Linked DNA regions of Xenopus tropicalis. The protein of the gene in region 2 purifies or fractionates together with the protein of the main gene of each other region. This does not show direct contact. Links are inferred from orthologs where the notes say so. Each region holds a gene or a part of one and is shown on either strand. Other genes may lie near its edges.

What was found. Proteins that work in one complex are often made in the same cells at the same time.
Region 1: the proteins of eif4g1 (region 2) and eif3j purify together in Homo sapiens (affinity purification with western blotting; 3 studies listed by BioGRID and IntAct, with this or other methods). This does not show direct contact. The link is inferred for Xenopus tropicalis from reciprocal best matches to the Homo sapiens genes EIF4G1 and EIF3J.

Annotation. Positions count from the first base shown.
Region 1 is NC_030679.2:118,202,945-118,208,261, forward strand, and holds the end of eif3j (eukaryotic translation initiation factor 3 subunit J), read right to left. Parts: intron 4,054-5,317; coding exon 3,892-4,053; intron 3,759-3,891; coding exon 3,685-3,758; intron 3,280-3,684; coding exon 3,145-3,279; 3' UTR 1,154-3,144; downstream 1-1,153. UniProt on the Homo sapiens protein: Component of the eukaryotic translation initiation factor 3 (eIF-3) complex, which is required for several steps in the initiation of protein synthesis.
Region 2 is NC_030681.2:99,827,137-99,833,545, forward strand, and holds the start of eif4g1 (eukaryotic translation initiation factor 4 gamma 1), read right to left. Parts: upstream 3,811-6,409; 5' UTR 3,690-3,810; intron 1-3,689.

The sequences.
Region 1 (5,317 bases), on a different chromosome or scaffold from region 2:
TCAGAGTATCAAGCCCTGGTCACTGCTTTAACCATGTGATATTATGCTCTGGCAGTAAAGGCACCATTGAACACTAAATTGAGTTCTCTCTCCTGGAAAAAGTAATGGCCAACTGGTAAATGGCTTTTCTTTTAGAGCTTAACATGGGGAGTAACATTTGGTGAAAGACGGCTGGGGCCCCTGGTCCCATTGAAAGCAAGGCTACAGCATAGTGTGATATTCTTGCCTAAAGGTGGCCATACCAATTCAGCAGCCTTTCTGCCCATATTTGGTCACTGCGGGCAGGCCTTCCCAAAAGAAATCTGGAATCAAATTGGCCAGATCTCTATGAGGCAAGATATGATTTTCCCATCAGATCAGGGAACATTGGATAGTTGATGCAGTCCTCGGTCTGACAGTGCCCATAGCTGCTATTTTAAGTCGTGCTTAAGTATTATTGCTAATGAAAGCAAAGCCTGGCTGTACCTTGCTCTTCCCTGCATTGCTGGTGCTGGCCATATGCACAACGTTACAATAGTTTGCTCTCCTCCAGCCAATGATCAGTTTCCCACAATACACTGGATTGTTACTTAGAATTAAAATGATACTGGTATATTCCTAAAATAGTCAGCATAACTAGGCAAGAATGGCCACAACCTTCTTTTTTAAACAGTAGCGCCTCAAGCCTGTGGTACCGGCCCATCTCTAGCAGGCCATGTAACAATGTTGCCAGTATGAGTCAAGCCAGTGTATGGTTCACATTATAGGGTTGCACCACCTCCATCCAACGAAGCAGCTCTCTCTCTGCTTATTGTGTCTGCAGGTTAACACTGGGCTGTGGGCAGAGAAACTTTGGTTCTAAACAAAGGACTTTGACTTATTTGTATAATAAACCCTTCCTTCTAAACAGGAGTCACAAACAGTACCTAGGGGAAGGAATGGGTTGTTTACATAGTGCTCAATGTCTCTATTTAAAAAATCTCCTGATAAGTAGAACAATAATCCAGGAGTGCTATTAAATAAAAGGAAAAAAATGGATTTCTTTTTTTAAACACAAGCTTCATGATTTGGTTATGTTGAACATAGGTTCATATTTTCCCTTAAAAAAATGTGAGTTATAAGAGCAAAGGGAAACAAGCAAGAAAACAAAAAAAAAAGGGAGACAACATTGAAACAAGTTGGATGTATATATTTTACTTCATTTCACACACTTTGTTGCTGTTATTTGAAGCTGCTGGTGCCAATAAGGAATACAGTGAAGATGGAACTTATGGTGCCTGTCCCAGTTATTTCTAGTAAGAATGCGTAGTGTGGATAAAGGCTTAGTTTGCTCATATCATGCATCACCCCCCCAAAGAAAAATAAAATCCTTAAGTAATGTGATTCTCTGTCAGCAGTGACTGTATATTGTGCGCTCAGCCATGGAGTTACCAGCTTTTTAAAGGTAACCAAAGGTCTCCCATTTGAAAGTGAAGAACACGTAACTTCGACTTATGGTAAAAAAGATCTAATCCAGCCATGAGACTATAATATACCCGTTAGATTTCCCTTAATACACAGAATTAAATATGCTGGTGTGGGTTTTAGCTGTACAGACAAGTGGTTTCTGGCATAATGTCCCTTGAACAGGCCTTTTACATAATTGCAGCCCCACTGGCTGTAGGCGGCTACAGGGAAGACCGAACAGACAGTAATTGTGCCTTTACCTTTAAACCGCAAGCAGACTAACCCCCATGATAGAGAAGCTACGGAAACCAAAGCAAGGAAAAAAAATATTCAGTATTTCCATTAGGCAAATGCATAAGGGAAATGAGAGATGGGAAATATTGTGACCCTCAGTCCTTTGCCTAGAACAGTTCATAGTCGGGGGGGGGGGGGGGGAAGGAAACTAAAAATAAAAGTTGTCAACAAGGAAGATGAAAAAAAAAAGATCAATACAAGGTATCAAGGCAAAAGCAAAGGAGAGCTGCAAAGAAATAACATATGCATAATTTTTTTTTTTTTTTTTTTTCAAACATTGTTAATATGTACATAAATACAGCTTGTCTTCCCAACGCTATTAATTCCATCTGCGCTTTAACAGCATTATACATGGTAGAATAAACCCACTAATAATGACTTACTGGAGGTGGTCTCTCTAGCTCCCTGCTCCCTGGTGCACTACACTTTGCCAAAGACTCAGAAGCCAACCTTGCCTATGCAGGAGAGAGCACACTGGCCAATCTTGTCACAAGGATGAGTTTATTAAATTAGTTGTCTTATAAAACAAACATTGCAGTCTCATTGTTAATATAACAATTCTCCCAAAGTAGGACCTGTTTGCAAAGCGCCATCCAGTGGGTGAGCAGAAGATTAAGAGAAAGGGCCAGACCTTGAACCTTGGTGCAAGAGTCAAAAAGCAATAAACCAATCGTGAAACCACACTGACACGCAATCACTAAATAAATATCAAGACCCTATGGCCCTCCCCTCCGGCAGAGCCATCAAGAACTGCCAGTTGGCCACAAAGTCATGATGACCCACATGTTTTGGTACTGGCAGCTCCAACAGAAGGCAGCACATATAGTCTGATGCACCAGCGGTATCTCCTTACCATTCTGCATCTTCACAGTTCCACATACTGTAGAGGTGATTTCAGATTGTTTAAAGTTTTAATATGGAAAAGCACCAAGCTGAGTCCATCAGGAATCACAGTTCAAAGCAGGAGATTCCTCTAGCACAAAGCTAAGAAACCAATATATATTAAAAAAAAAAAAAAAAAACTAAGATGGCTGGGAGGGCAGTGTCAATGAGGCAGGAAGTAAAGAGCCAGAAGAAAAAGAAAGATTTAATAACCTGCCCTGCCCAGAGAGAGAGAGACCATATTCCTAGGCAGAAAGCAGAGGCATGACTCTGTTTGTAACATGGCAGAGCTGAGCGTGCATGCCACAAGCAGAGTGGAGAAGGTTGCGAGCCTTGAGTTAAGGGGATGCTGAATAGAGCTGCATAGGTTAATTGTTTAATGTGCGATGTGGGCATCAACCAGTAGAATCCAGATACACACACCATGGCCATTTTCTTTTATATGGCCCGTTGAGGGGGGATGATTTCTTTGACTGTAGCATTTGGCAGAGTCCTGAGGGAGGAGAGCGCACTCCTTAATGAGGGCCACAAAGAACCAGCGTGTCACATGAAATCGTCATACTCTCGTCCATAGCCCTCATCCATGCCCCCATAATCTTCTAGATCATTCTTCATGTTGGCTTTTAGTCCTCCTCCCGGAACAACTCCCTTCTTTTTCTTTTTGGCTTTACTTTGTTGCTGTAATTCAGAGACACAATTGTAGTTTATCCAGGCAAAAAAATATGCTAAATCTCTACCTGCACAGAAGCAGGTTACAGGGGGCATATAACCTACCTATAACAATGACCAATGATTCATGATTTTAGCAGCTTTTACACTGCATGGCAAGAGCGGGGTAGAACATATAAAGCTTAACACTACCCTGCTAATGTCACATTGAGCAAAACAATAGAGCGGTGATGCATGAAGAGATGCTTCTTATCTATATAAAATAAACATTTGCTATTCTTCTTAGCGCTCAGCAGGGGGCACTCATGTTACACCTTCATGCTAACATCATGAAACAAGTCCTCTAATAGGTTGTCATTTTTCTATTACCTTGAAATAATTTCTTTAATACTCCTCCCACCCAAATAAACTCACCTTCTCTTGCTTCTGTTTCTCAAAGCACAACACTGTTAGAGAATTGTTGATTTTCTTCAGGTCATCCACTTCCACTAAAACAGGAAAATACAAAAATACTTCAGGCCACCGCAATATATGGCAAAATTAATGACTAACAAAGTTCATGTGATAAGTCATGAATGAAAAAGCTTTATGGAAATTGGAAAGGAGGAGAGGCTGGCTTACATGAGACGCACACTTCCCGCACAAGGACCTCCAGGAAGCCTGGGTAAAATAACGATCTCTCATACTGGGTGATCTTTTCTTTGAGGAGCTTCCCAAATTCTGTAAAGTCTTCTCTTGAGGACGGATTCATGGCATCTATTCCAGTAACGGTAACATTGTCTCCTGCAGATAATAAACAAACTTTTTTTTAAGGTTTCCTTCCCTCTTCACTGTGACCATATCTGTGCTAAAGGCCACCCTAACATAGCTGCATGTTGGGGAGCAGGTAGAGCCAGGCCTGTGTGCCAGAGCAAGAAGCCAGGCAAAAAGGCAGGTAGTTAATGTCCCAGGCTGGCGAGTTGGGGTGTGATGTTGGACACGGCTACAATATAAGTCAAGCAGAGCGGGGTGGCCGAGTGCTATACTCACTTCGGCACCGCACTGTCCAAGCCTCCTGCTCATCCTAAGCTGCTGAAATCTGCCTGAGTGGTCTAAATAGCGCAATAGGGCTAGGATGCAGAAAGGGGCTACCATGTGAGGCAGACAGGTAGCCCTGCTTCTGGTATCACCCAGGAGTCAACATTAACCACTGACCAAATAATTTCTCTCTAAGGGGTATATTTATCATGCTGTGCAAAAAGTAGAGTGAAGCATTACCAGTGATAACCAATTAGCAATTAGATATCAACAATTAGCAGCCAATCAGATGCTTTGCTTTTCTATGAGCAACATCACCGGCAATGTTTTACTCCACTTTTTACACAGCATGATATATATACCCCCAAGTATCCCTAGAGACATGACTGTCCAACCTCCTAGAAGCAGGACACTTGAATTACCCCATAGATCACCTGTGTCCCCGAGACGACAGAAAATAAATAGTAGTAGTATGCAACTTTTCAATATACATTAAACTTTTCATTAGTGAATTTAACAAAACTGCAGAAAAAATTTGGTTGTGTCAAAGTCGCATAGTAGCTGCATTCTGAAAACTTTCTGCAGTTTTGCAACGTTTTCAGCAAAGCAAATGGGACAGATTCGCTCATCACTACAGCTGGTTTCTGTCAGAGTCAGAACTAGCAATGAAAACACACAAATATAGCAATTACAACGCACTTAAATAAAAAAAAAAAAAACCTAACAATCTAAAAGCTTTCTTAACCTGACTGCCAAGGTACGTATGAAGCCAAACCCACAGAGGGCAGAACACAATCATATGAAGGTGGTCTGCAGTCATGGCATGCATCGATAACTGCATTACGGTCACTAGCAGAAACCAACCAACAGATGTCAGAGTTTCCTCCCAATCCTTGTAAGATAATATGCTGTGCCACCAAACAAATACTTGGGCATTCAAATGGCTGTATGAAAGTATTTTTATGGAGGGGCGGAGGACTTATGGGATTGGCATTTATTAAGTTCTAGGTAGGAGAGAAATGATAAGTCT
Region 2 (6,409 bases):
TGTGTGTTAATATTATGGAAAATTTGATTTTTTTTTGCATTTTTAGACATTTAGAAGCCTATATCTTGTTACAGAATTGGAATTACACAAAAAATACCATATTTTGAAAGCTTAGGTTGTTCTGAAAAAAATGATATATTGTTTTCCTGGGTAAACTAAAAGTCCCCCCGAGGAAAGACCCCTAAAGTGAAATGTTCAAAAACTGTCTGGCAATACAAGTTCTGCTTTGACCAAAACGGCTGGCAGTAAAAGGGTTAAGGACCGGGTTTGGTTGCTTAAGGCAATAAGTGTCATTTTTATCTTAGTTTTCTAAAAGACACGAGCTTTGCAGGCCAAGATCATGCCAGTAAAAAAGGAAAGAACAGTCAAACCCTATTAAACTGGGCTCAGTCCCCAAAACGGAATACTGCTCTGCAAGGAACGCCCTGAGGAATGGAATTAAGCAGATACTGATTCCCATGTGACCAGCAAGTGTAAGTGGGCCAATAGCCATTGCAGCATTTACACATTACTTCTTGCTGCCCCTGCTCAAATGGAATATACACTTAGGGGCAGATTTATCAAAGTATGATTCTCACTTTGATGAATGTGCCCCTAAATGTATCCTAAAGGTAAAAGTTAAAGGAACAGTAACACCAAAAAATGAAAGTGTATAAAAGTAACTAAAATATAATGTGCTGCTGCCCTGCATTGGTAAAAGTTGTGTGTTTACTTCAGAAAGTCTACTATAATTTATATAAATAAGCTGCTATGTAGCCATGGAGGCAGCCATTCAAAGGAGAAAAGGCACAGGCACATAGCAGATAACAGATAAAACACTATTATATTCTACAGAGCTTATCTGTTATCTGCTATGTAACCTGTGCCTTTTCTCCTTTTTTCCAGCTTGAATGGCTGCCCCCGGGGCTACACAGCAGCTTATTATATAAATTATAGTAGTGTTACTGTAGCAAACACACCAGTTTTACCAGTGCAGGGCAACAGTGCATTATATTTTTATTATTTTAAAGCTCTTTCATTTTTTGTGTTACTGTTCCTTTAATAAAGGAATTTTGATTGACATTTATTCTGAAAAAAAAGTTAGTCACATGAACAGGTTTTACTGCCAAGCATCACACCTGAGTGTTCATGTTGGTTTCATGAAGATCATCATTAAAGGAGAAGGAAAGTCTAAATAACTGGGGGGTGCCAAGTGTTAGGCACCCTCCCAGTAATCGTAATGGCTTACTCGATACACTGGACCAGTGCTCCTGTTAGCAGAAAGCTGCACCAGACTGGGGTTTTTCTGCAGAAGTTCTTCTGTGCTTTCTCCTCTTTTCACCGTGGAGTGGGAGTGCGCATGTGCACTAGAGTGCAAGAGCCAGCTTTTTATTTTTAATTTCGGCTTTCATTCTACTGTGAATGGGTCAACTGGAACAGAAGAAAGACTCAGAAGAAGGTGGCGATAAGGATCTGCAGCAGAAATTACTCTGGGTCCGGACAGTTTTTAGCAAACAGAAGCACTGGCCCAGGGTATATGGCAAGCAATCTTAATCACTGGAGGGTACCTAATATAGACAACCCCCGGTGATTTAAACTTTACTTTTTTAAAGTTGCTAACAAAAATGTTTGTTTTTTTTTATAACAGATGTTATTATTTCCTAGTGGTTATACAGTGACTTATGCAAAAAATAAATAAAAAAAAAGCAGGTACTAACCAGCAGATGAGATTTACACCGATTTGGATTTTAAACTCAATTTTGTCAGGGACTCATGTAAACATAAATATCTGTAAAGCACTGTGGAATAAGTCAGCGCTACATAGATAATTAAGATATAATGCTAAACTGTTGACTAAATATAATATTTAATAAAACATGTATGCAGCATTGTTAAAACCTTAGTAAAACAATTATAACAAAGAAACAGAGAAGTCGTACAAGTTCTACTGATGCATAATGCAACAGGTGACAGAACATAACTGATTCTGTGGCGCGTTAAAGTCAAATGATCCGGGGTCCTCTACTCATTACACTAAAGCAGACCTTGAAAGCATGCAAATGATGGACATGGATATAAATACAGAAGTAATAAAGGCAGGAGTGTTGAAGGCTACTATCAGGCTAACCCCATATTTTTAGGAGCTGTCTCTTACGTCCATTTGCCTGATCTACTATCAAAAAGATCTGCACCAAACTGCCCAATTAACCACCGCCACTAACACACTACACCAGTTTCGTTTACCACTACTGCAATCAACTGCTTCAAGAAATGTTTCACAATTAGGGCAGCAGAGCTAAGTTTACAGTTTCAAAGATAAGGAAGGTTAACTAGTGTCTTGCCTATACCAGAGCTACACAGAATAAAACAGAACTAAAACAACCATGTGATAGCATAACCATACAAATTTATAAATGCAAGTTATTCTCAGGGTCAAAAATGTAAATTATATGAATATATATCTTAGGGTGCTTACAGGACTTAAAAGTAAGGACAGGACATTTCTTTTTCACCATACATTCAAGTCCTGTAAGTACTCTGCTTTATATGACATTCTATATTACATATTTGGGGTGGGTATGCACCCAGACATTCTCTCCATTAAGTGAGTGCCGTTATATATAATTTGACATTATATGTATTACACACAAAGTTGATGCTATAAAATGGCAGTGTTATAATAAAAAAAAAAAAAAAAAAGGCAGTGCCATCAGTAAAAGATTAAGAAGCAGCATGCTAGAGCACCCTAGGGTGGGTGTGGGGTGCAGATGAAGCAAGCACACTATATAGCCTTTGTGGGATTACTTTCACTTACTCAGCAAAACTAAGTGTCACCCATAGTGCCCGCCCTTCACCCACCCACAGACACACATCCAGTTAAAACATATGTTAACAGAAATAACAATAGTTACAAAAAAAAAAAGTCTCATTTAAGTTTGAGCTGAAGAAAAAGATGGGAGAACCTGTCTTCCTAAACTGGGATATCAAGTCCTAGAAGTTTCAGGAAAGGCAGCTTATTTTTTTACAGTTCCAACGTGTTAATATATTATTTGAATGCACTATCACGGATAGAACTGGCCGCAAATGAACAGTGGAGGGTCACAAAAGAAATGACGTGCCATATAAAACAATAGGGCAAGCTAAGTTTCCCACTCCCTACCAGCACAAGCTCTTTTCGCGTTGAAACGGTATGGTGCCATTCATTCATGCCCGCCGAATAACCGCATGGAGTTCCTGAGCCTACGGAGCCATTAAAGCCCCTGATGGAGGACATTTTGATTGCCGGTGCATGCTGTAACTCATGAGGTGCATGATGTCACTGCGCCTCCGCCCCCTCCGCGCTACCCACCTAAACTGACACAATGTCACACGTACTCCTCGCTGTGCCGCTCCATACGGAACCGGCTTCAGTAAGCAATTCCATCCATCTCTCCTCACATTTACACAAACAACACAACATGAAATGCCAATCTTGTCTGCTCGACTCTCACGCCGAGCGGACTTTAGCTATGAAGGACAGCTAAAAGGGTTGTTAAGGGCCTCATACGGACAGGCCATGGTGAGGCAGCTTTAAGTACACGGACATCGCGCCACGCGGTGCCGGTGGGTAAGCGCCACTAGTAAGTTACCAATTCACGTTTCAGACTCGACAGGCATTAACAGGACGAAGGATGGCAATGGATTACAAATCAGGCCCCACCGATTCTCACCTGCTTTCCTCAGTCCGCGCAGCCGGGCGCAGTCGCACCAGCTAGCTCAACCATTTCCGGATCCCGGCGAACCTCTACGCAAGCGCAGACCCAATCCACGTGACAGACTAAAAGCGGAAAGGGAAGAGCACAAACTAGCGCCGCGTTGTCTTCCCTGCACACATCACGTGATTAGAATGTTGCCGGTATCACGTGACTTGAAGTGTGTTAGGGCTAATGCGAGATTTTTGCTCGATATAGTGTGTGTTTAAAGATTTTGTATTCCCGAACATATGCGTGTTCATTTTGTCTACTAGCCAAGCTGCTGCGACTATGTGTGAGAAATTATTTCAGAAGTGTATGTAGCGCGTATCTACATTATAATGACTTACTTTTACTACAAAACGGTAATGTTTAGCAAAAATTCATTTTGTGATGTTGCTACCAACGTCCTATTTAGAATTCCAATATATATATATATTTATTTATTTTAAAACAATGTATACAAACGCACACAAGAACCGTGACTATCCTGTGATGCAGCTTATTTCATATGACTCACTGAAACGTGTGTATTATAATAAACAATGTATTCCCTGTTGTAAAATAACTGAGGATATTAGGAGCCACCTCAGAATTCCATGATCTGTATAAAAGTACTTCTCCTTGTGCAGTGACTTTGTCATGGAACTCTTTTGTGACTTAGGGGCACATTTACTAATCCACGGTCCGAATGCATTTTTTTTGTAATGATCGGTATTTTTACGACTTTTTCGTCGCCGTCATGACTTTTTCGTATGTTCCGTGACTTTTTCGTCGCCGTCAAACTTTTTCTTATATTTTCTGCGACTTTTTTCGTCGCCGTCGCAAAAAAATCGGATTGGTTTTTCCGGCGTTTATAATTGCTCAATACAAAAAAATCGTGACGGCGATGAAATAGTCGCGCAAAATACGATAAAGTCGCACCGGCGAAGAAAAAGTCGAAACAAATACGAAAAAGTTGCGACGGCGACGAAATGACAGCGAAATTTTCATTTCCAATCTGAATTTTTGCCATTCGGGATTTGAATTCGTGCTTTGGTAAATCTGCCCCTTAGTAGTATGATGTAGAGCAGGGATCCCCAACTTTTTTTACCTGTGAGCAACATTCAAATGTATAAAGAGTTGGTGAGCAACACAAGCATGAAAACTGTTCCTGGGGTTACAAATAGGGACTCTGATTGGTTATTTTGTAGCCCCTATATTGACTGGCAGCCTACATCAGGCTCTGTTTGGCAGTACACCCAGGCCCACACCCACACCAGAACAATTTGCCCCCGTGCAGAATAATGGGGAGAGGAAGCGCCAAAACTTTAGCGCGTCCTCTCCCCATGGCTCCGAATGAATGAAGTGGCACGCATGGGGGGGGGGTTGCGGTGCGCATGCGTGAAGCTTGGGTGTCGAGGTGGGCGACAAAAGGGGGCGGCCTCCGGGGGCCCTATAGGGAAATCCGGCCCTGAGTACACCTGGTTTTTATGCAACCAAAACTTGCTCAAAAGCCAGGAATTAAAAAATAAGCACCTTGCTCCACTAGGAGCAACATCCAAGGGATTGGGGGGGGGGTAGGGATAAAGCGGGATCCTCAAATTGTGATAAAATGAGAGAAAACAAACATAGTGTAATACTATTTATTAAAAATAAAACCTGCTCATATACAGGCTACTCACAGATTGTAGTACAATTCAGCAGAAACGAGAAACAATCTCTATGCGTTTCGCATAATTACGTCATGCTTCCTCAGGAGCTGGATCATAAAAGATTTTATAATCTGGCTCCTGAGGAAGTAGTAGAAAGTAGTATTACATTATGTTTGTTTTCTCTCATTTTATCACAATTTGAGGATCCCGCTTTATCACTACCAAGAATCTGCAGATTTACTTTGCCTTGCTGTATTTTACATCTGGTGAGTGCATCAGCTCACCATTTTGCACTGGTGGAGAAAATTTATTTATTATTTAACTCATTTATGGTCACATTGCTCAAGCTTGCACTTGTGGGTGTTTTATTAATTTAAGAAATATTACACCATAATTTCACATTTTTTATTTTTATGCGCTTCCAATGCAAATTGTTTGTAGATAGAAGCATGTGCCTACAGAATGCCTAAATATTTTTTAAAAACCCATTTACAAGCTGGGGAGTCGTATCAGTTATGTATTTGCATAAACTGTGTTATGTTTTATAAAGTTATATGCTTTTGAAGGATGTTAGATGGTTGCAGCCTTGGGAAATAGTGGGAGGAGACTGGGAAGCTAGTTTCTGTGTGTAAGAAATAAAGATGGTCAACTGTTAACAACCTGCCTGCATTACTGAACTGCATCACTGATATAACAGTAGCCTTTACCCCACTTGCCCCAACCTTGTGTGCAGTGTTGTACGAGTAATGAACAATAACAGGAATCTGTAGGGACCCCTCTGTATTCAGGCTTGATTTACAAGGAAGTCTCAGAGCAAATAAATGAATGGTGTGGGTCAGCAGTTTAGGTACTGATTACTCAGAGGTTGGCATCAATAAAATAAATTCCATTATTTGTTATTATTAATTTTATTGCTGATGACACATAGCAAAGAAATTTACAGAGCAACATGTATTATTATGTTCTGCATCCAGTTTGACTGTTCACATCATTACAGAGTAAAACATTTATTGTAAAAAAATACAGTACATGACAGAAACCCAATGTGTCATCAAACCTCTTTCT